Linked DNA regions of Nothobranchius furzeri. The protein of the gene in region 1 purifies or fractionates together with the protein of each later gene. This does not show direct contact. Links are inferred from orthologs where the notes say so. Each region holds a gene or a part of one and is shown in the gene's direction. Other genes may lie near its edges. The genes, in order: vimentin, gan, sqstm1 and xpnpep3.

Region 1 (7,985 bases):
AGGGGGCGCCAACTTGCTGTTTCCAATCCAGACACTGTCATATAACCGATAATAGAAAACCTCGGTGCGGCGCAGATTTCCTTTTTTTTTTTTTTTTACTCAGCGCTTGTGCGCCCCTTTTGTGTCATGAAAAAATGCCGCCCCGGGCAACTGCCCTGTCTGCCCGTGCCTAAAACCGCTACTGCTTCACCCTTTTGTGCTGCCTTGGGTCTCTCCAAACGTGGAAGGAATTGGTCCATCCATTTTCTGTCAGCATTTGTTTTTTCATGTCCCTAAAACAAGCTGTTTTCAAGAGTCCATATTTATGATGTCACAAATGGGGAATTTAGGACAGAACCGTCTCTTACATGCAAGAGACAGCTGCTGTTGGAGGAGCATGCTCTGCTGCAGGCTCCTCTGATATATCGGAGCTTCTCAGCTAATAGCAACCTGAGCAGGAGATGGGTGGGCGTGGCCAAGTGCAGCTTGTTGTTTTTAACCGGATGGTCCAATCTTTGGTTTCAGAATGAGCCATGTTATTGGCCAAGGGATTTAGACAAATACGAGAGAACCACCTCATTATTTATTTTTTCGTTTTTTTAATCGCCAAAATAAATTCATAACTATACATGTTAGAATGTTTTAGGCTATTTTGTTTTCCAAATTTTCTCTAGCAACTTTAACAATGTTCTAACATTGCATTAAAATTGAAAAGAACATTTTGAATTCCCGGTGTAAGAGGGTATAATATGTTGCTTTTAAGCTTATTATACTACCTTTACTTATGACCAATAAGATGTGATATTCTATATAAATATAGGATATCAACCTGATTGATCTTTGAATGTTTAATCAGAAGAATTAGGATTCTTTGCCTTTTCAGTGATCATAAACACACTTCGTATTAATTCAGACAGAGTCAAGAAATGTATTTTCTAAACAAATTAAAAATCATGACCTATAAGCAACTTTATGTGATGGATGAATATAAGTGGATGGAATGTGATGTTTGATGATGGAATGGTGTGTGATGTTTATCAGAACCTTGGATCTAGAAGAAACTCAGGCTTGGTTCTGGGTGTGAAAAGAATTTGTTGTTTGTTATAAGCTGAAGAATTGATTCATCAAAACGGCATCAGACAATTCATGCCGTGCCTATGTACCTATTCCTGGAGACCCTGTTTGGATCTGAGATGTCAAAGAGTCATTGATCCCACTGCACATGGCTCGTAGGAAAACTTCGATGCGACCAAGTCAGTCCTAGGATGCCTCCGGGTCGTGAAAAACAGGGGGACTCGTTTGCGTCTAGAACGGTTGGACTCTTAAGGAGTCGGAACTGTCAGCGTTGTTCTGCAGGAACCGTGTGCTGTGTCAGCTGCAGCGTGCAACAGGTGTGACAGCTTGTCAAGAGATGCGGTGGTTAAAGAGTTTTCCTCTGGTGGCCAGTCCGGAGTTCGGCTCAAAACTAATTGAATTACTCAGCAAGTGATTCTGTTTTAACAATTGCCATATTATGATTACATGGCCAACCAGAATTTGACATGTAAAGGGGTTTTACCAACCAACCTCAGATACACACCTCCCTCAGATACAGTAGCTCTGATTTGTGGATCAGAAAGCAATGTGTCATGAGATTACTTTAGTCATATGTATGAGTGTGTGCTTGTCAAGTCACGTACGTTGATTAAATATATGGGTCATATATTTCATTTCATCCTTATTAATCTAAGCACAGATTAAACAAAACATTTCATTTAACCACATTGTTTATTTCATTATGTGATTAATTAACTCATATGAGCTGAAAGTGTTCACTTTTATTCAGAGGCAGGAGGAATCCTGTAGAAGCGATAAGAGAAAGCTTAAGGCCTTGAAACGGGAACAGTTTTGTTTACAATATGTTATCCATGTGTTCAAAGCTGCAGAGGCCTGAACTTCAGCTGATAAAATAGCAGAATTCAGCAGATTAAAGACACTAGATGTAGACTCATGTCTCCATCTGACTGGATACTGAAGAGGTCAAACTGTGGATGAAAAACTGACCATTTCTGGACGTTACAATGGAAAACAAAAGATTTTTGGATATAGAAAATGCGACTGATTTTTAGCGGTCTCTTGTTTACTGTGGCAATGTGGGTTCTGGTATCAAGGGACTTGGCTTGGGGATGATAGCCAAGGGAGGGGTGAGCACTCCGTGACCATGTTTGTGTTTAAATTCTAGTTTGTTTTAGAGATTTGTTATTGCAGGTTTAAAGTGACAGAGCTCTCAAATGGCTCATTCTGGAAGGTACTGAAAATGTAAAGAATAATAGTAATCACTCCTTGTGAGAGAACATTATAAACCTGTTTTGTATTGACCACAGATCTATTATAACTATAAGTTAAAAAGTAATAATATGTCCCTTTATTGAGTTATTTTCCACTTATAAGGTATTTTTCAAAACTTTATTTAAATGTATTGAAATGTTAACCTCACCCACAAAACGCCTGTTAACTTTAATAGATTTTATTTAGAAGCTTAGACTCACCACTTCATATATCAAGTAATTGAGAAAAAGGGAGATTTTTTTTCCATCCAAAAGAGCTTTGTGACCTTTCTCAGTTTTGTTGTGCACCTTAGAAGGCATCTGGCCTCAGAAAGCCAAGTGTGTGTTCTGATCTAGGATTGGAGTCTGGGGGTGTCAGTCAAGTTCTACTTGGCGCTTTTTGCAGGAGGAGGGGGCTATAAATAAGTTCTGGAGAGGGAAACGCCTTTCTAGGGCACCGCTGATGCTGCAGAGGTGAGGTGGACACTCTCAACAGAACCCAGTAAGATGTCCTACAGACCAGCTCCTCATTCTTCCTACAAAAAGATGTTCGGAGGGGACCGAGCCACGGCCCGGACCAGCTACTCCAGCCGCCAGTTCTCCAGCCCGCTGCGCTCCTCTCGGGTCTCCTACGGGCTCTCCTCCGCTCCGACCACCGTTTACGCAATGAAGACGCAGAGGCTCCGGAGCAGCGCGGCCATGCCACGGCTGGCCTCCGAGAACCTGGACTTCTCCCTGTCCGACGCCATCAACAGCGAGTTCATGACGAACCGCACCAACGAGAAGGCGCAGATGCAGTCGCTCAACGACCGCTTCGCCAACTACATCGAGAAGGTGCGCTTCTTGGAGCAGCAGAACAAGATCCTGCTGGCGGAGCTGGAGCAGCTGCGGGGCAAAGGCACGTCCCGGGTCGGGGATCTCTACGAGGACGAGATGCGGGAGCTGCGGCGTCAGGTGGACCAGCTCACCAACGAGAAGGCCCGGGTGGAGGTCCACCGGGACAATCTGGCGGATGACATAGAGAGGCTGAGAGAGAAGTAGGCGTGGCACATGTGGCCATGATTTCCTTATTGTTATTATTCATTTCTGCAGCTGTTCAGATGAGTAAGAAGTAAAATCAAAGAAGACAAAACTGAAAAGAAGAAGCATGGAAGAAAGCTCCTGCTTATGCTAAATATAAAATAACAGCTTTCTCTGTGTTCTCCCCTCCTGCAGGCTGCAGGATGAAATCTCCCAGAGGGAAGAGGCAGAGGCAAACATGCAAAGTTTTAGACAGGTATGAGATAGAATGATGACTTCAGCTAGCTAAAAAATGTTTCTGTTTTGTTGCAAAATTGCTCAGCTTTAATCAATCAATCAATCAATCAATTAATCAATCAATCAATCAATCAATCAATCAATCAATCAATCAATCAATCAATCAATCAATCAATCAATCAATCAATCTTTATTTATATAGCAACTGCCTTTGCAGGAGGCCAATACGCTGAGCATATAATACACTTAAAACATGAAGTGTAAAAGCAGCATAAAAGCATTAAACCAAGTCACATAAAAGCCAAAGGATACAAATTAGTCTTCAAATGACTCTTAAAATCCTGTAATGATGGTTTAATATCAAATGGAAGCTCATTCCAAAAGAAGGAACCAAGACCAAGAAAGCCCGAACTCCTCTAGATCTGTACCTAGTATTTGGGACTGTCATGTGAGGGAGGAGATGGCAGACAATGTGTGGTGGAGAGTTCAGGAGGCAGGAGAGCAGGCACAGATGAAATAAAAATGGATTTAATAGTAAACGGGAGCGACAGGACAAAACGAGCACATGCACATACAATGATCCGACGAAGACTGGTACAAGGAGGGAGATATAAATACACAGGGAAATCAGGAAGAGCAGAGTAATGAGGGACAGGTGAGAACAATAAGGACTAATCAGGGCAGGAGAAAGACACAGTCAGGAAGGCAGGGGCAGAACATGACAGGGACAGTCAGTAGCGTAGAATTTGTGATGGGGTGTCTTTTTATTAGTTCTGCCAAATATGGTGGAGCATCACCATAAAAAGACCAGAAGATATAGCAGAGAACTTTAAACTTTGCCCGAAAATCTACAGGGAGCCAATGTAATGAGGCCAGCACAGGAGTGATGTGTGCCGACTTCCCTGTCAGAAATCTGGCTACAGAGTTGTGAACCAACTGCCCCCAGCTTCTCATAACTTTGACCCAAAATCCCCAAATCGATGACGCAAACCTCCAACTGTGCAGTGGAGTGCATCCCTTTTCTCTTTTAGGTAATCTGTCTAGTTTTGGCTCATGAGCCACAGAGGCAGGAATGCACCGCTCTGATGACACAACAGCAGGTTCCAGACATGATTCCGAACAGTTAAAGAGTGCCCTGGCCTGGCTGGTACAAAAGGCCAAGTTTGCTCTGCTCGATTGGAGTCTGACTGGTCTGATGTGGTTATCAGAGCGAGAAGACGGGCCACCGCGTGATCCGGCTGTCTCGTTCACATAAGAATTTCTCTTGTTATGGTTCTGTTCCCTGTCACTGGTTTTCCAGTTGATAGGTCATGTGAATAGAGTTATATGGCGGTTACTGTACACAAATAGGTCAAAAACATCACTTTGGTGAATAACTTAAACACATAAATACACATTTTGTTGATTTTATGTTTTTTCGGTGCAGATTTGGGCTTAAATCAGGTTGTTGTATGGCAGGAAGGAATTGCATGAGTGGTCTGCCTCCGTGGCAAACAGACAACAATGTTTGGCCAGCAGCCGGCTCCTGCTCAGTCAGGCAGACAGTCACTCTTCCAGCCTTTGGGCATGTTTTGGAACCCCTGCTGAATGGTCCACATTGTTTGTGGCATTAACACATGGGCAAAGCAGCTTCTGTTGCTGATACCTCAATCAACGGCCTGCCAACGCCCCGATGAAGCTGTGCACTGGCACAACAACAGGTTTGTTTCATTATGGGTTCTGTCTTCCAAAACAAAAGCTTCGTGCTTAATTAAGTGGAGGAATGAAATAATGACTAAACATTCCATCACTGTTGGAATTTTTAATTTCATTCAGAGAAACTAGAAGGAAATTTCACAATAAACATAAATTTAGCTTATAAATGGGCTTAAGGACCTTTTTAATTATGTGGTTTGAATGAGACCCTTTACTGAATAAAAAAATTGGAAAATGGAGTCATTGATGTGTTTTTTAGAATAGTTTAATTTTTTAAATGCATTAATTCAACACATTTTTGATTCACTAGAGATATGAATAATAAAATGCTCACATAAGTACGAACGGCATCCTCTAGCATGTGGCTTTGCAGTCACAACACATGACAACATCCACTCTTTAGTGACACACATCATGTGCCTGCAGTTGATTTGTATTGAATGCATGTGTGTTATCTGCTACACAATGGGACATCTGTGTGTGGGGAAACACTTTAAATGCTCTTTACAGCACATGCAAGTGCATTTCTTTAAAAGTCCCTGCCAGCAAATGCATCATGAATAATTCTTGTCACCTTTACAAGTCGCCTTATTAAGAGTCAATGTCGTGGCACAGGATGTGGACAACGCTGCCCTCGCCAGACTGGACCTGGAGCGGAAGGTCGAGTCACTCCAGGATGAGATTAACTTTCTCAAGAAGCTGCATGATGAGGTAAGCTCTCCCCGTTTTCAGCTGAATCGCTGTGCTGCAGGAATGTTGCATGTGCACTGCAGTTTGTGAAAGACACCTTTATGGAGAAAGCCAAGCCAAATCATTTCAGTTATTTCTTAATCCACTTAAACGCCAATTTAGCTGGATTTCGAGCTTTTCCCAGAGCACAGAGGGACATTAAAACAGACTGTTCTGTTCGCCTCGCTGGTTCTGTTGCAGGAAATGCTGGAGCTGCAGAACCAAGTCCAGCAGCAGCAGCACGTGCAGGTTGACATGGAGGTGGCTAAGCCTGACCTGACGGCGGCTCTGAGGGACGTCCGCCTGCAGTATGAAAACCTGGCCTCCAAAAACATACAGGAGTCGGAGGAATGGTACAAATCCAAGGTGATATTTCAAGAAATGATAGAGTAGAATATTTAGTGCATGGCCATTTATTATTTTTATTTAGTAAAAATGTCTGCATAACAAAAACATCCTCAGCCTCAAAACTACAGCATCATGCATGGTCGCCTTTCATGACAAGATCTTGCAAAATTTCCCCACTTCACCCCTCTCACTGCACTTCCTCTCCTTCAGTCTCTGACTCATCATTTATGGAAGAGTCGAATTGTCAGCCATGTCTCCTTTCCCCTCCGTTTGCAACTATGATTTCTAGTTTGCTGACCTGAACGAAGCTGCAGCCCGGAATAATGAAGCTTTGAAACTAGCCAAGCAGGAGGCCAATGACTACAGGCGCCAAGTTCAAGTCCTCACTTGTGAAGTGGATGCCCTGAAAGGAACTGTGAGTGTGCAGTTTTCGTGCATCTGGGACTGGGAGCAATCAAACTGACAACAAATAGTTAAAAGGAGAAGCAGCATATTCATTCACGTTTGGCTGTGGTGACAGAATGAGTCTTTGGAGCGTCAGATGAGAGAGATGGAGGAGAACTTCTCCTTGGAGACCGGCAGGCACCAGGACACCATCAGCGGCCTGGAGATGGACATTCATAACATGAAGGATGAGATGGCCCGGCACCTTCGAGAGTACCAGGACCTTCTAAATGTAAAGATGGCCTTGGACATCGAGATCGCCACCTACAGGAAGCTGCTGGAGGGAGAAGAGAGCCGGTAAATGAGAATTTGCTTTGAGCCTTCATCTGTTTGTTAGTAACCTGTGGAGTGTGTCTTATTTTTGCAGAATCTCCACACCACTGCCAAACTTCTCCTCTCTAAACCTGAGGGGTAAGACAATGACTTGCATGATGATCCTGTAGGAAGAGTTCTGTTATCAGCTTTCATTCTGAACTAATTTTGTTTTCCTCCTTAGATGCATTGACTGAATCCAAATCTCACGTTGAAGCCACAACAACAAAGAAAGTTGTCATCAAGACCATCGAGACCAGGGATGGTCAGGTACTAAAGATGTGATTTAAAGTCTCTAGCTGAGCTCTCACACGCATCTCTTCTCATGCTCTTCTGTCATTTTGCAGGTGATCAATGAGTCAACCCAGAATCATGAGGACTTGGGGTAGCCACGTCTCGATTTTTTTGCCAAACAGTCAACATGAGCAATACGAAGAAACACATCTGACTGGGTCTGCAAGCAAGAAAGCCACCCAGCAACAACAGCTTGGAAAAGTGCCTTTATATGTGATGATGCAGTTTTGCTTCCTTCTTTCCTGAAAGTATTTTGTCACTTTTTGTCTAGACAAAATGGTGAAACCAGCACAGTATAGCAACCCTAGGAGGTCTTCAGAAGCCTTTCTTTGTAACCAACATAGTATATTTGACTTAAGCATGCACACAAGAATTCTGTAAGATGATGATGATGTCACAATTGCCTGTATGCAGCAATAAACAATGAAGACTGTAACTCAGCTTTGTGTTAAAGTCTAATGTTTGTATTTAACGTAATCAAAATATCTCAGTATTCAATCTGAGCCTTTTCTCTGTTTATTTCCTTTACGTATTTTGGATCCGATGGACCTAAGAGACATGAAAATACTGTTTTGGAATATATAGGGGCTCAAAAGAAATATGCTTTTTTTCTCAAAAGTT
Region 2 (7,858 bases), on another chromosome or scaffold:
TATTATTATAATGATGAGATCACATCTGTGCTTTAATTGTTAAAACTGAATAAACTGGATCTTTAAACATTTTTCTGTTTACATGAAGCTTTGTTGTTTTATTTCTCATTACTTTATTTTAACAATATTGTCAAATTAAAGCAGTTTTTTATTCTCATTTTAAATGGATAAATGCAAATAGATGTATTTAAGCACCTGTAAAAATAAAACATTAGAGTAAAACAATTAAACATTATTATCAGGTTAATCTCAAAATGCCTTTTTTTAAAAACTGGTCTACTGTGTGTGTGTGTGTGTGTGTGTTCCATCTCTTTGCCTCCAAAGTGGTAAAATCAGGTGTTTTATACACTCCAGAAAAGAAAAAAAAGCAAATATTGTTCAAACAAAACAAGTTACTTCATTTATTAGTTTGAAATAGAACAAAATAATAAAATCTTTTAAAAAATAAATAATATTTTAAAACTGTTTTAAACAAAAGTCCAAAGAAGCATTGGGGTGGAACCATTTCCATCTTTTTCCACAAAGATGAACTGTTTTCATCACATCCGAACTCTGAAACAGAAACACGACGTCCCGACAGAACCGCGTGACACAGAGATAAAAGCTCTAGAGTCTTTTTCTCAACATTAACAAAAACCCAGACAACCTGCGAAGCCTCCGAACCCGGCCTCATCAATCCTGACTTCAGCATCGGGTTTTATAAAACAGCACCAGCGGAACACTTTAGCTTCTGTTTGAATTGGACCCAGATGACAGTAGAATGAAAAATCCACACTTGACCTAGAGAAGCTTAAGAGTCTCTGAACCAAAGGAAACGTCGCTGTGGTACCATCAGCTGATGTTTGGAGGAGGTTCTGCTGGTTTCGGAGTTAAAAGGTACTTCACAGCCCAGTGCAGAACAGACGCAGCCACTCTGAACCGACTGAAGTCCTGCAGGTTCTGTCCGGTCACACTGTAGGTGTATGAGAACCTTTTGCCATCGATGTGAACAGAGGAGGTTGTTCTCACAGCTCTTTGTTTTGGACCACTCCCCTCTTTGGTTCTGGCGGGTTCTGGTTGGGTCTCAAAGAGCCAAGATGGCGGGCTGTGGCTGAACTCTTCCTCCTCCACCCTCTGTAGTGGGACATCGTGTCGCTTCCTCTTCAGGTTCCTGGTGTCGACCTGAGCCCTGTCCTGATAGTCTCTGTCCAAAGCTTGAAGGTTCTGATGAGTCCTGGTGTTCTGGGTGGTGTCTGAGGCAGGAGGTTCTGGTAAACTCTTCTCAGCTGAGTTAGTGGGCAGGATGCTGCTGTTCTGCTGTTTTTGGTAGGGAGGGAGGGAGATCTGAACATAAGGTGAGCTGGTTACCATGGTAGCAGAATCAGGTCCAGATGTGGTACCGGAGAGGGTCGGTGTAGGTTCTGGAGAAGATTCAGAGCTGATGCACGGAGGAGGGTAGATGTCCCAGGGGTTGGATGTAGGCCTTCGAGTTACTTCCTCCTGTGGGAAGTCGTCCTCTGTCAGAACAGCTGAGCTCTCTTCTGCATCACGGACCGATTCCACACCAGCCGGTTCTGGAATCTGCCCGGTTGCATCATTATGAGCTGCCAGCTCTGTCCCTGTGTGCGTCCTGAGTCCAGCATCTGTCCCCGTCTCTAAATGCTGAGGGATGAGAAGAAACCTCACTGGGACAGTGAAAGGAGTCTCTGCCTGGTACCTGACCCGGTCCTGGTCCCAGCTGGTGGCAGGTCCGGTTATAGATGAGTGGTAAGCAGAAGCGGAAGGTTGTGGAGTCGTGTGTGTGGTCATCCTCTCCACGACATCATTCACGCTGCTCCGCAGCCACTCTTCCTGCCACAGCAGCTGGGACAAGTCGGGTTCGTCGTGGCTCCTCTGGGAGTCCTGAGCTCGCTGCCGGGCGCTCCAGGTCTGATCGATCTTCATTCTGATGGAGGGCAGGGAGGTGTAGCAGGGCGTGTGCTGTCTAACCAGGCCGGCCTCTACTGTACTCAGACCGCTCAGCACCAAGTAGAACCTGGAGGTGAACTTATCGGGAGTCACGTCAAACTGCAGCCGCTCGACCTGAAGGTGCACCGTGGCGTTTAGGAAGTTGTTTAAGTTCTCCCGACCCTCCTCCTCCTGGATCCGCGCCCAGGCGGAGGCGGTAAGCACGGCCGGTATCTTCACCTGCCCGTCGGACAGAAAGAGCACAACATTGGGGCCCTCGAAGGCCCGAAGCTTGGATTCAGGCAGATGACTGACCTCGAGGACATACGCCTTCAGCCAGCGTTTCCTTCCCGGTGTTCGGTCTCCGTCCGGGGCTCCCGCCTCCTCGCCTTCCCGGTCGCTGTAGTTCAGAACCAGGCCTTCTATCCACGGTTGCATCGGCTTGTGTCGGAGCCGATACATGTTCGAACTTTCGGGGGTTTAGCTTACAACAAAAATGCAGTCCGAGAAGGAAAAACCACAGACATCATATACGAGAACAACAAAAGTTTCTGTGTACGCGGCTTTTAACTTCCGCCAGGAAACAGTCCCAGCGCTGAATGGTTCCACCACAACAAACTAAACTAAAATAAATACAAAGAGGTACTAAAATAAGTACATAATGATATATATTTAAATAAGAACGAAGCAAACAAAAACCAGGTCCAATTCAACAGAGGTTTTCTGGAAAAAAAAGCCTTGGTTCAACTTCTGCAATTAGATATTTTACAACATTGTAAACGCATCCTGGGAGAAGTGAACGTCTCTGTGTCAAATCATCATCATCATCATCATCATCATCATCATCATCATTTAATAATTCCCCTTTTAACGACACGAACGTTAGCTTCAGATTAGATCTTTGCCAAGAATAAAAGAAAATATAGAAAATAAATCTGATTGTATACTCCTTGTGTGCTCTGTATTTTTAAAATATATGTATGTGTTTAGAAAATATAGAAAATCAAAACGTTTACATAAAGCTTTTACTAACGTTGGGTAGAATCTCATTAAACCTATTAAACCATTTTTTTCTAGATTCAGGGGACATTGAACGCGTATGTTATGACAGGCATTAACATTTTGTTTATAGAATAACTTATATTGAAAGTAACGTTGAAAGTTTCTTAAAAGGGGTTGCTTTAGATTTACTTGTACAACTTTTTTTTGTTCAATAAAATTCTATTTAAAAGTGTCGCTTTTAGACGATTACGCATCATTTCCGCCTAATTTCTGAAACGTTCATGTATCCTTGACAAACCTAGCACACTTAATTGTTTCACGGAGTGAAAAGATGATACTTCATATTTCCATATATTTGCAACTTTATCATACCAACAACATATATGTGTTAAATACCTTAGCTCTAATCTTAAATAGAAAATTTATTTATTAATTTATATATGATTTTTTTCCATCTGTTTACGTACTTGTTTTGTTTTGTCCCATGGCCTTGAATGCAGCACCACACATGTCCACCCTTTCTCATGGTGTTGTGAGTGGAGTTCGGCACTCCCTGTGCCAGAAACACCCAAAGCTTTCAGTAACCTAAAGGTAAGACGTTTTTAATAAGTATTAAAAATAAAACACACAACGTAGAGTTTGAAACGATGTCTTTTCACATTAGCCGTTTGTTTACATTTAGGTTCTATTTTGCTACTAGCCTAGCTTGATTTGCCAAATCTCATTTAGAAATGTGCCAGTTTAAGAGTTTTCAGCTAGTTACAGTTTAATAAACGTTTGTTGATCAACAGATTGTATCTTTGATGAATCGTCGTGAAAATTTACACTCTTCGGGAGTGTTTAAATTGACAAGCAAAAAGGTAATAAATATTTCTTCTAATATAGCTCGTCGTGCTCTGATTGCAGGAGTAAACAGTGCGTAGGCAGTCCAGATTAACGACATGCCCAACTCCACGTCCAGCGAACCCGGTTCGCGGGTTTCGGATCCACAGCACTCCCAAAAGCTGCTCAGAGTTCTTCGTACTTTCTGGCAGGAGCAAAGCTTTCACGATGCTCTGCTGGTTGTCGATGGAGAAGAGCTTCCAGTTCAGAAAAACATCCTGGCTGCTGCCAGCCCATATGTCAGGTGAGTCATACCTGCACACGTGTGGCTTTGCATTTGCTATTTGGGTGTGGCTGCTCACAGGAAGGATCCCGCCGTTTATGTTCTGCCATGTTCTGGTGTTAGGACTAAACTGAACTACAATCCTCCCAAAGAAGATGGGTCCACTTACAGGATCGAGCTGCAGGGAGTCTCCATGGTCATCATGAAGCAGATCCTGGACTACATCTTTAGCGGAGAAGTGAGTCTGGGCACGTTGTTCTTACTGTAATCCGTTAAAGCTCTATTTTAGGATTTGACACATCGAAAGAAAGCAGCTGCTTAAATCCTAAAGAATTTACTTTTGTTTACTATTTATTAAAAAGTTACAGATCAGGATGACATGTAGATTTTATATTTGACTCTTATTCCCACAGATCAGCCTGAGTGAAGAAACCATCCAGGACATGGTGCAGGCGTCAGACCTGCTCCTCATGACAGACCTTAAGCTGCTCTGCTGTCAGTTCCTGGAGAGCTGCATAACTGCAGAGAACTGCATCGGCATCCGGCTCTTCTCCCTGTGTTACTGTCTCCATCACGTCCACTACGTCGCCACTGAGTTTCTGCAGACGCACTTTCGTGATGTGGCTCTCACTGAGGAGTTCAGGGAGCTGCCCCATGATCGGCTCTGTGAGCTGCTAGCCATGGAGAAGCTCAATGTGGGGAACGAGAAGTACCTACTGGAGGCTGTGGTGCGATGGTTCGCTCATGACCCCGACGACCGCAGGGTGGGTAAGGCTCAATGTGGAGGCCGGAAACGGAGATTATAACAAAACAAAAACCGTAGGGAAACACAAACTGAGTCAAACAACAGGATTTTTCTATTTTTTGTAGTTTTGTAATGACTGTTGGTGTTTGGTTCATGAAAGCTTCTTCTACATCAGGTCCACATGAAGGAGGTGATGTCAGCAGTATGGCTGCAGGGTTTGGACCTGAGTTACCTGAGAGAGCAGGTAGAGTAACTGGAAATGCACGTTTTAGGCTCTGGGAACAGAAAAGACTTCCATCTCTCAGGACCATTTATAGATTTTAATATTCTTCCTTCCAGAATAATTTAATTTGTTATTTAAAGGGGCATTATGGAAGTTTGACAGCCAAAACATGTATAGAAATAATAAATGTCTTCTTCATACATTCTCCTGCAATGCCCTGGTCCTGTAGAATGAGCCCTGGCATTTTTACTGTGATTGCCTGTTTTTCTGTAAAATCACAGAAAAAGAGAGATGCTCGGGTCGAGCAGGCTGCTTCATGCGCGTTCACGCTCAGGCATCGCCCGTAGCATTTGCTATCCGTAGCTTTAGCAGCAGAGAGAGAGGCAGTGCCACTTTGTCGCTGTTCCTAACGCCTAGTGACAAAGCTAGCTACATTTCTGAGGACCCTTAGCTACTTTCTGTAGAACTTTCTTCTAGATATTTCCTGCAAATTAGCAACAAAATAGCCATTTTCACTCCGAACCGTTCTTTGGTTTGACGTTGTTTCAGCTGTCATCAAGGATATAAAAGTTACAGATACTGTGAATGTTACTAGAGTGTAGCTCACCTTGTAAGATGTCTGACTCTCATGCAGAAGTCCTGTGTTCGATTCTGGATGTGAACAGAGTTCATTTAGAGTTTCTTTTTTACATTAATGATAGGGTTAGGGTTAGGGGACGACATAAGGAATGAGCCATCTACAGGATTCCCCAAGATCCGGAGCGCCGCAAACGTTGGATCATTGTAATAAAACGCGCTAGTGACCGGGCTTAAATGAAGCTGTGGGATCCTGAGAGTAAAGGTTTTCGCTTATGCAGCGACCGCTTCATATCAGGTACTTAAACCAACGTTTCCTCAACTGTGTGTGGTAATTATTTTAAATGCTTTTATTACTATACTTAGTGGGCTTCCTAAACGTATTATGGCGGGGCTTTTTCTGTCTTATTACTCATAGCAACAAGTAAACGTCACGTAAAACATTGCCTCGTGTTTCTGCGTGCTGCCGTTTACGTGTTTTATGATCACAGCAATTAACCGGCTAAGCTGTATTTAATTTTTAAGCAATGGTTGATCAATTGTCAGATCACACATAAAAAGCACTTTGGATTGCTGTTATCTGTCTCACCGAGTCAGATCTCAGACAGATCCTGAGACGCTCCTGCCTGACATATTTATTTTATTCACGGAAAAAAATCAAACTAGTGATTTCTCTTGGCGTTCAGTTTATACATTCAAACAGCACAGCACTCTGTTTAAACTACTTAAGTTACATGTAATTATTTGTCCATCCATCCATCCATTTTCATCCGCTTATCCGGAGTCGGGTCACGGTGGCAGTAGCGTCGAGAGGCCCAGACTTCCCTCTCCCCAGCCACTTGGGCCCAGCTCCTCCGGGGGAATCCCAGGGCGTTCCCCGGCCAGGTCCGGTAAGAAGTCCGCTCCGACAGCTTCTGGCGTTTTTAAAAAGTATCCCAGGGGCACGGTAAGGGTCGGAGATGTTTAGTCTATTTAATTTCTGGCTATATAAAACGATTTCTTCGGTTTTACAGTGTGAAGTAAACTCAGACGAAGTAAAATCCAAGTCGATCCCGTTCATTTTGTTTACCTTTATTGCCTGCCAACATGGCGTCTACTCTCTGAGAGTCACGTGACGTCTGGAGCATGTTACTCATGCCAACAAACAAATAAAATACCAGTCAGGAATAAACTCCTGCTTGTATGTGAGAGCTGCAGTCTGGCTGTGCAGTCAGCAGTCACCAGGGCTTTTTTTCCTCAATTATTTTAGTTTATATATATATATATTTTTTTTCATTTTGTTAGATTTCTCATGATCACAAAACTCTTTTGATGTAAAAACCAGCAGCTCAAACTTTAAAATCGACTCAGAAACTGGAATAAAAAAATGTTTCAAATGTTGTTTTTCTTCAACTCCTAATATTGTCCAGTTCTTTTTCTTTGAGTGAACTGAACGGAATGTCAGGATGTTAGACTCACCTCGGTTTTAGGTTTGATTTGTCCTCTGGTGCTACATCTTCAGTCCACGGCAGAGCCTTTGATGAGGGAGGTGATCCGAGAGTTCTGTCAGAAGAACCTGACGGAGGCGCCGCTGCAGGGCGAGGCCATGATCGCCGCCTTCAAACCCAGAGGTTACTCCGAGTGCATCGTCGTCGCTGGAGGAGAGGATCGACGGTAGGCCGACCCATTTTCTCCTGGCTCTGAAATCTTCCTCAGCTCTCTGGAAGTTAAAACCCTGTTTTAAGCCCGTCTGTGTTACCTTTGGGGTTTCTCAGATTCAGCTGAAGAACTCAAAACAAATAGTTTTTAAGTCTTTAGAACTTTTGGTCCACCTTAACAGATCACAAGAGGAAGGGAAGCCACCGTGTTCCAGCTGGTCTGATGGTTTCATTCTTCACAGAACCAAGAAGCTGACAGCTGCGATGCGCTGCATGTGTCCGCTCTACGATACAAACAGGCAGGGCTGGATCGAGCTGCAGCCCATGAGCGTCGCCCGTCTCGGCCACGGAGTCGTCGCTGCCGGTCGGTTCACAGAAATCCTTCAGAATGTCCGTTAACCAGAAGCATTAGATCGGTGATTAACAGGATCTTCTTGTGTCTCTCAGAGGGGTTTCTGTTTGTGTTGGGAGGAACCAATGAAAACAACACGGTCCTGGATAGTGGAGAGAAATACGACCCGGACTCCAACTCCTGGAGCCCGGTACCGCCGATGCTGCAGGTACACCACTTCAGTTACTCTTCAGTTACAAGTAGAACTGAAATGCTTCCTGCTTATGACGTAAGTGCATGCATATATGCAAAC
Region 3 (8,026 bases), on another chromosome or scaffold:
AATGAATGTAGCTGATAAACATCAGTGTTCCCAAGTATGGTTTTGTTTTAGCTTTTTTAACCGTTTTATTGCTAATGATACATAATTACAAATCTGAGGTCCTAAATGAGAACGAGGATTCCATTACTTACAGTTATTGCTGCCATAAATTTTGTTTCAATAGAAATGACGACTGCTTAACCCTGTGGGGTCTTGTTCCTTACACCCCAGTCTGTCCATTCTGGTTTTGGTTCAAAAGATTTCTTCCTGTTCAAGGGCAGTTTTCGTTTCCACTTTTGCCAATAGGGCTTGTAAAAAAAAAGTATTTGTGTCTGGATTTTATTAAAAATCCAACAAAGGAAAAAGAGAAAGGGTATAAGGAATACAAAAATCAATTAACCACAATAGTAAGGAAGCAAAAAATATATATTTTTTTAAATACTATGATGAGCTACTTCTAAAACATAAAAACAATATTAGGGGTACCTGGATGGTGTTAAACACACTAATGGCAAATAATAAGAAGCAGGTATAATGACTAACAATGAAGATAAGAACATTGTAAATGGTTTAAATAATTTTTTTGTGAATGTCCCTAATTTAGCTCAAAAGTTGACAACTATTAAATAATTAATACTAGTATGGTGTTTCTAAGTGGTGTAAGCCCTAGCGATGCTTTACAAGTAGTACACAGATTTAAAAGTAAAAAGTCCTTGGTTTTTCATGGGATAGATATGTTTCTCATTAAGGAAGTCATACACTGCATTGTTCAACCTGTTACTTATATTTGCAATAAATCCTTTTTGAGTGGTATAGTTCCTGAACAAATGGAAATAGCCAGTTTTTCCTATTTGCAAAAGTGGTGATAAGACACTAGCTTGCAACTATAGACCTATACTGCTGCTGTTCTCAAAGGTATTAGAGAAACTTTTTGAAATTCGACTTGGAAGCATTTACCAACAAGTTTGATCTTTTAAATGACCATCAAAGTGGCTTTAGGAAAAATCGTTCAACCTCATTAGCAGTCATGGAATTTGTAGAGCATAATGCAAAAGCAGTTGATCAGAAACTAAATGTAGTGGGTGTTTTAATTGATTTGAGCAAGGCTTTTGATACAATCAACCATACACAACTGCTTAAAAAATGTGAATAATATGGTCTTCGAGAAAAAACAAATCAATGGTTGCAAAGTTTTGTAACTGTCAACAATAGGGATTTGCAACTTGATAAAGTAAAATGTGGTGTGCCGCAAGGCACAATTCTAGGACCAAAATTATTCACGCTTTATTTGAATGACATATTTTCTGCATCGACTCAGTTAAACTTTATCACGTTTGCAGGTGATACAAACTTTCTTTGTACAGGGAAAGACATGAAAGAATTACTGCAAATGGTAGAAAAATAATTTTTTTAATAAAAAAATGGTTTGATCATAATAAGTTATCATTAAATTAAAACAAAATTCAATTTATGATATTTTCAGGAAACGGAGATAATGATGATGCTAAACTATACTTAAATGGTGTTCAAATTGAACGAGTACACATAGCTAAAATTTTAGGGGTGACTGGATAGTAAACTTAGTTGGAAACCACATATTGGATATATCAAATGTCAAGTTTCAAAATCTATTGAAATACTCTACTAATCCATCGACATACTAAACAAAAAGGCTTTGTTTTTGATTTACAGTTCTTTAGTTTTGCCCTTTTATCATACTGTGCTGAGATTTGGGGAAACGCATGGAAAATATGTATATAGTCTATTTGAAGTACAAAAAAAAGCCATTAGAATTATTAACAAAGTAGAATATCTTACACCAACCAACAGTTTTATACTAAATAAAAGTTTAAAATTAAGTGATATTGTAAAAGTTAAAATCTTTGAAATTCTCAATTGAGTAACTAATAACAATATCACAAATAGTATAAAAGATTTTTTTTCTTCAAATTTAGAGATACCTATATAGAGAGATATAATCTTAGAGGTGTATTTAATTTTGAATGTGCTAGAGCAAAACCTAATGCTAATTCAAGATGTGTCTGTTATTGGTGTGAAATTATGAAATGAGTTAAATGATGAGTTGAAGACATGTACTTCTTTACCAATATTTAAAGCATATGTTGGGTATGAAATACTTAAAGAATATGAAAAGGATGTGTAAAATATTAATGTTTTTTTCTCTCTTTTATTCAGCACATACATACCTGCTGTAGGTGGAGAATAGGCCAAAATAAGCATTGCTTCTGCCTATTCCTTTTTTGGTTGTAATTCATGACGTTATCGTGATGTATCTTAGTTGTTTGAAGATCTTCTCTGTAAACATGACAACCAAAATAAAGGATCGATCAATCAATAGCCTGGTGCTGCCCAGGATAGAGAATTGCTTTGGATTGATCCAATCAGCTGGTTTCTATTATAGAAGCAACTTTGACTGATTGGAGATGTAAAACCTTATGGACCTGATTCTGGTGCAAGGTGTTAACTGGTTTAAATAAATATTTGTCTCAATGTCTGTAATTCATTCAGTTACCTGGTTTAAAAGTGGATTCATTTGGCTATTAATCAGTCTCACTGGAAGAACCTCACTCTAGCTCCAGGATGCTGAGAGCACTGATGCATTCTGGGATTGTTTAACTTTGTTTTAAGAACAAAAAGAAATCCAAGCATGCATGTTTATCATTGGACCAAAGCAATAAAAACAAATGATTACAATTAAATAATTGAAATTAAATGTTAAATTAATTTTACCTTAAGGTTGTTGAAACCTGATTATGTAATCAGAGCTCTTTATACAATGTAGTCAGAAAATATTTAGCTAATTCTTCCATTAAAAATCTTTGATTCTATAAATTGTTTTTAGTCAAGCTGACAAAACTGAATAACAGTTTCAAATGCAGTGACTTTCACTACATTGACCTTTAAAGGCTTTAAATGAGAGGTTTGGGTGGTTTTCAGCTTCATCTTGTGATTCTGAGTCAGCAAGTCATATGACTCATGCTGCTGCTGATTGGCTGCAGCGGCTGGGTGACATCACAGATGCAAACAAACATTTGATCAAAACAGAAGCTCATGAGACATTTGAAAAGAGTGATGCAAGGATGACTCAGGTGTTTGAGGAATACTGAGAGTTTGACTTATGTTTTACATTTCATATCCCATCTAATTGTTTACAACTGGACAGCAGAAAATCAGCTTGAATCTGGACTGATTAGAGCAGGATTTGCAGATTGCTTTCGTTTTAGCTGTAGATTAATTCTGTAAAAGTGTGTATGGGTTCTTGACTCTGTTGTAGTAATTACGGACTGGGGTTATCTTCAGCAGATAATTAACAGAAAAAGCATGTCGGGGTTGAAACCAAAGCTCAGTTAAAACACACACAAACATGCATGTTTATGTTTCTCTGCTGGATTTCTAGACCTGCAGTTGCGTTCTCAGCTGGATCCACTCATTTAGGATTTTCATATTTTTTTATTAATAAACTACAAATCAATCACTTTTCTAACAAATAAAACAATGTGCCACGTCACAATGACTAAGCGGCTTTCCCAACTAACACCTGCTCACGTGACTAGTTGGAAAGTCCCTCACCGTGCTGTGTAAAAAGATGTTTCTAGACGGCAATGGTCCCTCATTAGCGGAGCTCAATGAGGACCAATGGGAGGCTGTGTGCGTCTTTACGTCATCTTAAGACGATGACATAGAATGCGGAAGTAAACATAAAAGAGGCTGAAATTTACCGCTGCGTCACAAAGTTCTAGAGTTTGGTTCTCCGTTTGGTTGTTTTTCTGTCTCTGTTCGGAGTTTGGTTCGATTGAGTTCGTAATGTCGGTGACGGTGAAAGCCTACTTGCTGGGAAAGGACGAGCAGGTGAAGGAGATCCGCAGGTTTGCGGTGGACCAGGACGTCTCTTGCAGCTTCGAGTACCTGAGCAGGAAGGTGGCGGCAGCTTTCTCCAACCTGAGCAACTTCAACCTATTCTACAAGGGTGAGGCGCTTATATCAGAGCTGGTTCTGTTTCAACCCAAACACTGACTGGATTTCTGCTGCGTGTCTTTCTGGTTCTGGATTGTTTTTAATATTCTGATGAATGATGTTTGGTGCCACCTGATCTGTGCTTGGACTTGATGTTTGAGTTATGGTGTTTTAGATGAAGATGGAGACCTGGTGGCCTTCTCCTCTGATGATGAGCTGATGATGGGACTGGGTTTTGTCAAGGACGCCACCTTTCGCCTCTTCATTAAAGGTAAACAAGTCGTCTTCCTGTTATTTCTTTGTAAGGTTCCATCTGACTAAAGTTTTGTTGAACTCTTGCAGAAAAGAAGGAGCACCGCCGGGACTTCCCTCTTCATGCATTCCCCCCTTTCGCTTTCGGGCTCCCTCATCAACATGGACCTCCTCATGCCCCACCTCCTCACCCGGGCCCGCCCCCTGCCGTCCATCCCAACGTCACCTGTGACGGCTGTGAGGGCCCTGTGGTCGGAACGCGCTTCAAGTGTTCAGTGTGTCCAGACTACGACCTTTGCTCCACCTGCCAGGCTCGAGGGACCCACACTGAGCACCCTCTGCTGCCCGTGTGGCACCCTCTACAGGTGAGTAACCTGGATGACAGGTGTCAGAGCTCAGGTCACCACTGGCAGGTGTCAGAACAAGTCACATTTCCTGATTAAAATGTGATAAATCGGTGGTTTTCTTAAAATTTTATTTAGCAGTGGTTTCCTCGAGGAAAATGGATGAAAAAGATGAAACACTGCACGTGGAACCAGCACATGGCCCAGGCACAGACCCAAAACCAGGACCAGAACCAGAAGCAGGAGCAAACCATTCCCTCCAGCTCAGCATCTGACTGCAGCACCTCCTCTGGTAGGTGATGTGAACAGATCTGTGTTTATGTACAAACTGGTCATCAGTCAAAAGGAGTCCAACTCAGAGCCATTGTCCAATAACAGAGACTGACCTCTGACCTCTGTAGCTTCTCAGGTCAGCGTGAACTATTTGAAGAACATTGGCGAGGGCGTGGCTGCCATGCTGAGCCCACTAGGTGAGTTGTTTTACCTGGAGATGTTTTTAATGTGCAATAAACAAGAGGGAACTCATCCTAATACGCACACGAGTGTCATTCAGACATTTAAAGTCATTTTAAAGTGCTGTTCTGTCAATTTAGATTCCAAACTACTGTTTCTAGGAATAGGAAGTCCTCTGACCAGAGCATTACTTTTGGCTAGCTGGATCTGTGACATTAGAAGCTAATTTCCAGGATTAGCCAGAAGAAAAACCTCAATGTCCTGCTTTTCCTAATTGGCTGCTCCACTTGGGCAGAGTGAAAACCCAATGGCACACAGGCAGTAGCAGTAGCATAGTATTTCAAACGTTATTAGAATAAAACAAACAGCATAAACTAAAGAAACAATCTCATGTAAAATTGTAGGGCTTTAAAAACTGCTAATATAGCGTGCTAACGCGTCACTATGGGTTGTTTTTAAACACCAGAAACGATGTATTATTTCATTACCAAGCTGACTAGTTAGCCTCTGTTCAGAGGAGCACTTTGTTTCACCTTCGGTGATGTCACCTGCAGGCAGTGTCTGTACTGTAGATATATGACCTATTGACCATCCCTTCAGAAAGATCAGAATATCACATTTAACCGTTTCTATTAAACTTCCTGACAACAGAATCCTGATGAAGTAGGGACTTTATCTGTGCATGTGCAGGTATTGATGTGGACATCGACGTGGAGCATGAGGGGCAAAGGATGAAGGTGACTTCACCTACTCAAGGTGAGGAAGAGCAGGGTGAAGTGCAGATGGATGTGGGAGCTGGCGAAAGTGGAGCCAGCAATGAAGGTGGAGCAAAGCAGGGGCCAAAGGTCAGTCTTCCTCAGACAAAAACTAATAGATCAGTCTAATTAATGACAATTACTGACCAAATACACAAATCTGCAGGTGGGCCGAGATGAAGATGATGAGTGGACTCATCTCAGCTCTAAAGAGGTTGATCCATCTACAGGTGAGCTTCAGTCGCTGGAGGGCCAGGGCTCAGGCCCAAGTCCAAGTCCAGGTCCAGGTCCAGCTCCTCTGTCAGGGACCGAGGAGGGACCCACAGGTCTGCGGGAGGCAGCTCTTTATCCACACCTGCCTCAAGGTGAGTTCAGATTCTGCGGTTCAAGTTTTTTTTTTTTTTTGGTAGTCCTGTCCCTATTAAGCCCCTCCCCTTTGTCCCCCACAGAGGCTGACCCCCGCCTGGTGGAGTCGCTGGCGTCAATGCTCTCGATGGGTTTTACAGATGAAGGCGGCTGGTTGACTCGGCTCCTTCAGGCTAAAAACTTCGAGATTGGAGCTGCACTCGATGCCATCCAGTACGCCAAGCAGTCCCACCCACGCCAGTGACATCATTTGACTACTTTCTGTTTTTAGTCTGACAATTACCTGTCCACACCTAATAACTAATCACTTTTCTGTGTTTACCTTTTATTAAACTTTTGATTTGTTTCTAATCAATAAACGCATTTTAAAAACATGACTCTGAAATGTCTACGAATCGACTCATAACAATCCTAAACGAGCAGCTCAGATGTAAACGGCACAAAACACATTTAAAACTTAAGGAAGTCATCATCACAGCTGAAGTCTTCACCACTCTCAAACATGGAAAGAACAGGAATGTGAGGGCGGGTCGCAGTGATGCTACTGCACAGCTGTGAAGCTATAGCATCAGTCTGACTCTGGCCACAAACAAAAGCCTCGTCTTCCTCATCCTGTCTGTCATCCCTGAGGAAACAATCCCACCTGGAGGCAGTGCTTGGACCAGGAAGGGCTGGAGGCGTTCCTGGTGGACATTCTGGCTGTACAGAGGAATTAAAATTAGAAATATTTTAACTTGTCTCAGCAAAACATCTCACTTGTTACAATAAAGATCAAATCAGAGTAGAGATTGGTCGTGTGACATCACTACGATCTGAAACTGGATATTCATACTTTTTGCAACATTGTTAATCTCAGTGGCCTAGTGGTAAAGTGTCTTCCCTGGGACTGGGAGATCAGGGTAGGGTCATACCATAGACTTTAAAAATGGGACCCTATGCCTCCCTGCTTGACATTCACCTTTAAAGAGATGGACTGGAGGGGTTTACACCACCAGATAGTTCCCGAGCCCAGCCACAGCTGCAGCCTACCACTCCCCACAGGGATAGGTCAAATGTGGTGATGTAATTTCACCAGTGTGTGTGATGACGACTGATAGGACTTTAACTTTACCATAGAAGACAAATTAGCATTTAGTTATTATAGTTTAACGCAGATTCTGGATAATAATAGGGAGTAATAGAGGCCAGTTTAATACCAACCAGAAGAAAAGAAGGACTAAAGTTTGCTCCCAAGGATAAACAACATAGACAAACAAAACTTAGTATAAACACGGAAAACTGTCCAGTAATATCTGATATTTTGACCCAATGGAATCTTTTTGTAGGAGTCATTTTTGTTTAATGATTAATACCCATTTGGTCCGGTTGATGTAATTTTGATAATGGCAATTTAAAAGCTACTAGTCATTAAGACGACAGGTTTGGAAGATAAAATGTGCACCCTTACTGGAACCTTCCGATTACATAAATACTGAATTTAATAAAACTAATAAAATGTATCTTATTGAATGGAATGAGACTAGATTTAAAGTCAACATAGTTGCAGCCCCAGTGCAATAAACATAATCAAAATAAACCTCTGCGTCTGACATGAAGAACCGGCCAAACCACCACCTGAGCCACACAGCTGATCACGCCTGACTAAGGCACTTTTGTGTGTTGGCTGATGGTCAGGTGGTTCTTAAAAGGACAGTACAATGTTATAAGGTCTTGTACAACATAGCAGCAGCAGGTTACCTGTGCAGGTGTGCAGTAGGGTTCTTGTGTTTCATCTGTGCACTCTCCTGATCTTTGCCGTTTCCTGTCACAAGACGAATTTTACAATAATAATTAGAGACCAGACAGGCCGCATCGAGGCCTGTACAACAGAACCAATACAACAACCAGTTCAGACCCACTATA
Region 4 (7,339 bases), on another chromosome or scaffold:
CTTTTGAACTGCAAAATAATCCATCTAAATTTTTTGTCTTTCAGGCTTTTAGAAGAACGATGGCACTGACTCAGGGAGATGTAGATGAAGCTGTGCTGTTTGCCAAGGTAATTAATAAAACTAATGACCTATCTGTGACTCTACATCTTTATTTATGTGAGCTCAGCTAATATTTTAGCTCAAAAATGGATCTTCAGAACTGGAAAAGAAGGGTCTTCTTAATGTGTTGTCCCATGTTTTTATTGAGGAGGTGTGTCTGTATGTGTGGAGGTGTGGGTGTGTGTGCTTGTGTGTGTGTGTGTCGGTGGGTGTTGGTTGTGTGTGTGCACTGTCTTCTCCATCACCAGTGAGTCGTGGTGGATGGCTGCTTACACTGAGCCAGGATCCTCTGGAGGTTTCTTCCTGTTAAAAGAGAGTTTTCCTCTCCACTGTCGCTCCATGCTTGTTTAGTATGAGGATTGGTGTAAAGACTCTGACACTAGTCAGTGATTCGATGCAACCTGCTGGGTTCCTTGTATAGAAAACTTTTTACTGATTGGCTTCATGAACTGACTTGTACTGTAATGTTTACTGTATGTTTACTGCCTTGAGACGACTCAACGACCCACAACTCCCCTCCCCCACAACAACTCTCTTTGCCTGGAAGGGTGTTGAGCTGCTAACACCATCACCATCTGTAACACACACACACACACACACACACACACACACACACACACACACACACACACACACACACACACACACACACACACACACACACACACACACACACACACAACTTACATAGGCAGCTGAGATGGTAGCAAATTCCCGGTCTGAATTATTGCCCCAGTCCATCTCTGACACTCATCCACCAAAGTTTATAGGGACCCTAAATAGTGATGCACCAATATGACATTTTTGGGCCGATGCCGATATCAAGGTCACTGTTATGGCCTATAACCGATATTTGCCGATACAGATATACTGACATTAATGCTTCTAAAATCAGCAGATTTTGTATGAAATGAACATTTTTAAAGCTGAATTTGCATTATTATGTACACACAACTATCAGTCAATCAGTCAATCAATCAATCAGATTTTATTTATAATGCGCTTTTCAAGCCAAGTACTACTCAAAGTGCTTTACAAAATGACCCAAAATTCCCATAACAGTTTAAAAACAGATGCAAAACATATGCACAGTGTCACGGCGTGTGGGCGAGGTGAGGCGAGGATCCACACGCGGGGAGGAAGACAGGCAGACAGGAAGAACGTTTTGTCATAAACTTTAATGAAAAACATGCAATACACTGAAACAATGGACCGACACAAGACACAGAACAGAAAGGGCTTAAATACACAAGGGCAGGGAGCTAAGGTGATTGGGAAATGAGAGGCAGGTGGGAGCAATTAACGAGACACAAGGCTGAACCAAAACGGGGAGACAGGACAGGGTGTGTCACACAGACACAAACACACATCAGTAAAAATTTATATTCGGCTGAGTCCAGATGAGCCAAGTAAGCTAATGCAAGGAAACACCATCCGAGGAGCCGTCAACCCCGGCAGCATCAGGTCTTCCACACTAAGTCAGGGCGTTCAGAGGAGGGGGAGCATGGACCCCACCTCCACTTAAACACTACCTATAGAGCGCCCAGGAAGCAACAGTCAACCACCGCTCCTGGGGCAGAGGGCCCCTACAGAGAAAACACTGGATTAAAATGAGTAAAAATATGAAAATAAAAGACCTAATATAAATGGCAAAAGTAAGAAAATAGATTATAAATAAAATCATATAGACAGTAAAATAATAATATTAAATAATGAAACAATGCTAAAATGTAATCATGTAAAACGAGAAATAAACACACACATTTACACTTCTAAGATGATTACAATCACTGTCACATGACCAAATAAATAAACATCACCCCCCCTCACCCTCTGAAACAAACAAATGGAGACAAGATGGAAAAATTATGGGTTGTTAATATCGGCCCAGTTTTATTTTTCGGACCGATACCGATATGTTAAAAAATGGCTGACATCGGCCGATACCGATATTGATGCCGATATATTGTCCTTCCCTAACCCTAAGTCACGTCCATCTGCTTCTGGACCATGGGTCCCCGGAAGAACGAAAAAATGAATCCAAGTTAATGGGGCTAAAAACACTAATTTCTAATTCTGCTTGTTATTTGCCATGGATAAATATGCATTTCGATACCAAGAATGCACTTATTTTCTGGGGGGGTGGGGGGGTGTTAGGTTTTGTGTGAAAATAAGTCCAGGACTACAAATGAGCATCACAAAAGTGACATCATCGAACCAGACACAGAGAAAAACAGAGGGAAAATGGCTGAAAGTTTTGCTAACTTAAAATCCTTCCTTTCGGAGGAAAATACATCATAAATCTGGCCATTTGGTAAGTAGCAGCTACGCTAGAGGAAAAGAGATTATTTGGTGACGGGTGATGTGCTGATATCTAATTTGTAGTCATGATGATTACGAACATTTACAAGCTGATAAATCTCAAAGTACGTGACTGGCGTAGTCAAAACACCCATCATTAGTTTTCATTTAAATTGCAGTACAACATGTGTGATCCAAGGCATAAGGCAAAGCGAATTAAAAAATTGCTCTTTTAGCCCCGTTGACATGCATTCATTTTTTCGTTTTTCCGGGACCCATGAGCCGACCGGAATGGGAGGAGACCTATAACCACTCAGCTAGCAGCTGGCATTTTGGTTGTACTCTCCACTCTGGCCTGTCCATTGATTCCACATTGGAATGGCGCTGGTTTGAAGTAATCTGTCTGACAACCAACCTTGGCACTGGCAGAGGTTCAACAAGCAGTCTGAAATCACAATCACATTCTGGCTCAGTTTTTTAGAGCTCCTAAAGATAAAATCCAACCATTGCTGCTGATTATTCAAGAAGACTGGACAGGGATACTGTTCCTCTTGCAGACATTTCATTTTTGGGTTCTAGGCATTATTTAAAGTGCAGACTAGATAAGAAAAAAATCACTTCTTCACAACTGCTAACTACAGGGAGAGGCTGGATGTTAGTAATTACAGTCCGGGGATCCAGACTTGACAGACCACTTTGATGGGGAGGAGCAGAACATACTAGTGCACTGCCTGTTGAAGGAATGAAGCAGCTGAGACAGAAAAATGTTTGTGTGAAGCCAAAAACGCTTTAGTGATGTTTCTAATGAGGAAATAACAATATATCGTGGTCAAAAGCTTCAAAAAGTGGATTTTGCAAAATAGTCTCTTTAGATGTTGGAAAACTCAAGTGTGAGTTTGAAAAACAAGATAGTGGTAAAAATATTAGTTTTAAGGAGTTTTTAAATTGTTTATATGGCTTTCAGAATTTATGACCTTAAAATATTTTATTCTTTTTCCAGTTTGATTTTGAGAATCGAATTCACGGTGCCAACTTCCTGGCATATCCTCCTGTGGTAGCTGGAGGGAATCGGGCTAACACCCTGCACTATATAAATAACAACCAGATTATCAAGGTAAATAACACATGCAAGAAGTCATAAATCGAGTATTTTAAAATATTAATCCTACATTTTTGCTCCTTGTTGTAGGATGGTGAAATGGTTCTGCTTGATGGTGGCTGTGAGTACTTTGGTTACGTCAGTGACATCACTCGAACTTGGCCAGTAAATGGACGGTAAATTGGATGTTGAACTTGTCAAAGGACCAAAAATGTTGATACAAATAAAATGCATACATTTAGTAGCTACTTGGCGGCAAAAGTAGCAGTTGATGTTTGAACTTTACATGCAAACAGTATAAAGCCGTGTTTTACAAGTCCTGCAAACAAGAGCTGCTCAATGTTACATTTAAGCACTGACATTGCAATGTACAAGTGCATAACTGCCACGTCATAGGTCCAGTTGCGGTGTCGGAGGCATGTGAATTAAACGAGGTGACATCTAATCTAATCTAAACATGACATGGTTTGGGGAATGCGTTTAACCCAAGACATGCAGAATCACACACTCACAGATCTTATGGTAAAAAAATAATCTTTATTTTAAAACGGGAACTGAAGGTAAACTGGAAAAGCCCAGTGGAGATTGAGAACGGGAGTGCAGCGTCTGAGGACGGGAGAGCAGATGCAGGTGAGTCCAGGAAGGTAAGTCTAAATTTGGTGGGTGCAGAGAATAGACTTACTTGGGAGTAGGGGAGCGTAGGAATGAAGGAGGGCAGGTTGGGTGCCGGGGTGAATCCAAGTGGGGTGTCCAGGAGAGGGACCGAGAGGAGAGCAGGAGAGCGGGCCAGCCGGGAGGAATGGAGAACGGTGAGAGCTGCATCCGGAAATCTTATGGGGCACAGGTGAGTAATCCCGAGGAGTCACAGAAATCCAAAGACGTAATCCAGAGAAGTCGCAGAAGTCCAAAAACTTTCCAAAACCTGGTAACGGGTAAGCACAGGGAAAAGATCCAAAGGTTCACAAAAAAATCCTAGAAACACTAGAGCACAAAATCCAAGAGTCGCAAGAGGGCAGGAAACTACCAAGCTGTAGTAATCATCCGGCGTTGAATCATCTTCTTCTTCTTCTTTTGGTGTTTTATTGGCGGTTGGCAAACAACTCCGGCGTCGAATCATGATCACCATCCTTCTTTTAAAGCCGACCCGCTCATCACGCTGATCAGGATCAGCTGTTGCTCCCTCTTCTGCAATCAGAACACTCAGAGATGGTGAATGATGTGAAGAGTACTCACCCCGGCTCATGACAACAGTGTGGTCAAAGTACACCCACATCACCTCGCTTCTCCTCCAGATTCACTGGCTGCCAGTCAATTTCAGGGTTCATTTCAATATCCTGGTTCTGGTCTTGAGGGCCTTACATGGACAAGCACCATCATACACTGGTGATCTTCTCAGTCCCTACACCCCCAGCAGGTCCCTGAGTTCAAGTGACAAAAGCCTACTGGTTGTGCAGCGCCAGGCTAAAGACCAAAGATGACAGATCATTTGCTGCTGTGGCCTCCAGACTCTGGAACTCTCTCCCCTTGAGCCTGAGATCAGTGGACTCCTTCAAAAAGCAGCTGAAAACTCACCTGTTCAAGCTGGTTTTTGTGTGACCTTCATCACCACCCTCTCTTCGTTCAGCTCAGAACAGAAGAAAAACATGTTAAACTACTTCTTAAATGAAATATCTGTAGCGTCATGAATGTCCTGTTTTTGACCTAAAGGTCATGATCTGCGTCTGCTCGAGCAGAGACATAAAGTCTGACAGCCTAATCTACATGAGATAGTGGCCAAGGTCTTTCATGCACTCTGCTCATCTGAACTGCTTCACCTCTGTTACAGCTCAAGACAAAGAACTCTTTTGATTAATACATAATCAACAACTTTGTTATTACCAATAATAATGTGAGCCCAATGTTCAATCTGTGAAATGACAATGTTAGTACTTGATATTATAATCCTGTGATCAGTAGTATTTTACAAGTTATTATAATCCTGGACATTTGCACTAGACACTGATGACACGTAATGCTAAAGCCACACGACACATTTCCTTTTGTCTGATCCAATCAGAACCTTTGTTTATGGCTAGGCATGGTTATCTGTGGTGTTTGTATAAAGCCTCTTTTACATGTCAAATTCTGATTCGCCAGTAAACCAAAATATGACAATTATAAAAACTATTCCACACAACCTTTTCTTTAGTTCAAGTGTTCTGGAGAAGTCTCGGACAGGCCATCCGGACTTCCTCTTCAGCCAAAAAGAACCTCGGCAAGCTGGATAAAATCTGTTGCAAGTTACACCTGACCGCAACGGTTCCTTCAGAATAAAAGCTGAACCTCACGACCCCTTCAGGGTCTCGGAGACGCCAGTGATAACCTGTCGTGACCTGGAAGCATTCCAAGACTAGTTTGGTTGGCACCGCTGCTTTTCTACCGGCTTCGGTTCCAAGGAGGGTCCAAGAGGACCTCGGCATTCTGGATCTAACGGAGGCTTCCCCTGGGCTACGTAGACCGACAGATGGCGTTTCATGTGTGTTATAAATCTCCTACTAAAGTTTAGAGCGAAACATTCACTCCCACTCAGAACTAACCGCTTCTCCGGATCCGCTGGTTCTGATAACAACATTCCACACACATACACCATCCTCTCACATCTCATTCCACCTTAGTCCATCAGTACACCGAGTGTTAAAGTTAGTCTTGTTTAAATTGTGTAGAAATAAATTTCTTAACTATTATAAACCTGACTCTCTCTCTTTCCTTGGAGTTAATACGAAGTGTCGCTTAATCCCTGCAATAAAAAGTTCTGGTCTTCTGGTTAAAATATTCAAAGATCCATCAGATTGATATTTCATATTTCTATGGAATCTCACATTTTATGGTTCATAAGTAAGATGTAAACTACCCATCCTTTACATATCCATAGCACGGCTCTGGCGAGAATATGATGACATAAGTAGAAGGATGCTGAGGTTGGAGTCACCAGCAATGAGGCGGAGAGGAGGACCAAAAAGGAGATTTATTGGTCTGGTGAAAGGGGACAAGAAGTATGAGGGTAGAGGACGCAGAAGATGAGACTAAATTAAGACAGATTATTGGCTGTGGAGATCATTTTGAAGTGACTCTGCAGCAGCGTGCCTGCCAGTGGGTGTAATGTGACGTGGAACAACACTGTGCTGCTATCAGATGCACCTGCTTCGCCAAAAAATAAATAAAATAATCCTGATTAATCTGTTGACTTTCTGAAGCTCTTCAAGTCAGAGTAGATTGGTTATTTTACTAATTTGATCTGATCTGTATTCTAATAAAAAATTTTGGGAAATTTAAATAAAATAAAGTTTTTTAAAATATTTAGGGCCATTCGCCATTGTTTTAAGAGTCAACACTGAAGTTTGCTCTCCTCCTCTTTGTCTTGGCAGATTCAGCCCTGCACAGGCCGATCTTTACCAGGCTGTCCTGGAGGTTCAGCTGTCCTGTTTGTCGTTGTGCTCCCCGGGCATCAGTCTCGATCACATCTACAGCACCATGCTGGCTCTGTTGGGTCGGCAGCTGAAGCGGCTCGGCATCCTCAAAGCTGGTACCAGTGATGCTGATGTGCTAAAGGTAATCACTGGAATAACAGCAGGGGACCGTATTCACTGGTGTTTTGCATCATTAATAAAATACACACCTTGGGTGACATGACAGATGAGTGCCCACCCCGCAACTGGAGGGTTGCAGGTTCCTTGCTATGCTCAGTCTGTTGCAGTCGTGTCCTAGAAGACTGGACTTGAACTTCTAACATGGATTTTCTGTCTAATGTGGCACCACAGAAACTATGGGTGTAATGGTACGCCTAAGATCCTGGTTCGGTAC

The links.
Region 2: the proteins of vimentin (region 1) and gan purify together in Homo sapiens (affinity purification with mass spectrometry; 3 studies listed by BioGRID and IntAct, counting the BioPlex papers as one, with this or other methods). This does not show direct contact. The link is inferred for Nothobranchius furzeri from reciprocal best matches to the Homo sapiens genes VIM and GAN.
Region 3: the proteins of vimentin (region 1) and sqstm1 purify together in Homo sapiens (affinity purification with western blotting; 3 studies listed by BioGRID and IntAct, with this or other methods). This does not show direct contact. The link is inferred for Nothobranchius furzeri from reciprocal best matches to the Homo sapiens genes VIM and SQSTM1.
Region 4: the proteins of vimentin (region 1) and xpnpep3 purify together in Homo sapiens (affinity purification with mass spectrometry; 3 studies listed by BioGRID and IntAct, with this or other methods). This does not show direct contact. The link is inferred for Nothobranchius furzeri from reciprocal best matches to the Homo sapiens genes VIM and XPNPEP3.

The regions. Positions count from the first base shown.
Region 1 is NC_091751.1:47,675,660-47,683,644, forward strand, and holds vimentin, read left to right. Parts: upstream 1-2,644; 5' UTR 2,645-2,792; coding exon 2,793-3,322; intron 3,323-3,500; coding exon 3,501-3,561; intron 3,562-5,852; coding exon 5,853-5,948; intron 5,949-6,167; coding exon 6,168-6,332; intron 6,333-6,603; coding exon 6,604-6,729; intron 6,730-6,834; coding exon 6,835-7,055; intron 7,056-7,125; coding exon 7,126-7,169; intron 7,170-7,254; coding exon 7,255-7,340; intron 7,341-7,417; coding exon 7,418-7,459; 3' UTR 7,460-7,804; downstream 7,805-7,985. UniProt on the Homo sapiens protein: Vimentins are class-III intermediate filaments found in various non-epithelial cells, especially mesenchymal cells. Vimentin is attached to the nucleus, endoplasmic reticulum, and mitochondria, either laterally or terminally.
Region 2 is NC_091744.1:82,304,489-82,312,346, forward strand, and holds the start of gan (gigaxonin), read left to right. Parts: upstream 1-3,407; 5' UTR 3,408-3,519; intron 3,520-3,834; 5' UTR 3,835-3,869; coding exon 3,870-4,054; intron 4,055-4,156; coding exon 4,157-4,271; intron 4,272-4,446; coding exon 4,447-4,797; intron 4,798-4,953; coding exon 4,954-5,022; intron 5,023-7,078; coding exon 7,079-7,230; intron 7,231-7,456; coding exon 7,457-7,578; intron 7,579-7,661; coding exon 7,662-7,774; intron 7,775-7,858. Other genes in the region: acd (adrenocortical dysplasia protein homolog), read right to left, coding at 832-2,388. UniProt on the Homo sapiens protein: Probable cytoskeletal component that directly or indirectly plays an important role in neurofilament architecture.
Region 3 is NC_091741.1:64,351,161-64,359,186, forward strand, and holds sqstm1 (sequestosome-1), read left to right. Parts: upstream 1-3,573; 5' UTR 3,574-3,804; coding exon 3,805-3,967; intron 3,968-4,129; coding exon 4,130-4,225; intron 4,226-4,296; coding exon 4,297-4,571; intron 4,572-4,688; coding exon 4,689-4,842; intron 4,843-4,951; coding exon 4,952-5,020; intron 5,021-5,693; coding exon 5,694-5,848; intron 5,849-5,924; coding exon 5,925-6,123; intron 6,124-6,207; coding exon 6,208-6,368; 3' UTR 6,369-6,501; downstream 6,502-8,026. Other genes in the region: mrnip (MRN complex-interacting protein), read right to left, coding at 6,575-6,823, 7,862-7,925. UniProt on the Homo sapiens protein: Molecular adapter required for selective macroautophagy (aggrephagy) by acting as a bridge between polyubiquitinated proteins and autophagosomes.
Region 4 is NC_091752.1:65,763,884-65,771,222, reverse strand, and holds part of xpnpep3 (xaa-Pro aminopeptidase 3), read left to right. Parts: intron 1-44; coding exon 45-107; intron 108-3,400; coding exon 3,401-3,514; intron 3,515-3,589; coding exon 3,590-3,675; intron 3,676-6,903; coding exon 6,904-7,087; intron 7,088-7,339. UniProt on the Homo sapiens protein: Catalyzes the removal of a penultimate prolyl residue from the N-termini of peptides, such as Leu-Pro-Ala. Also shows low activity towards peptides with Ala or Ser at the P1 position.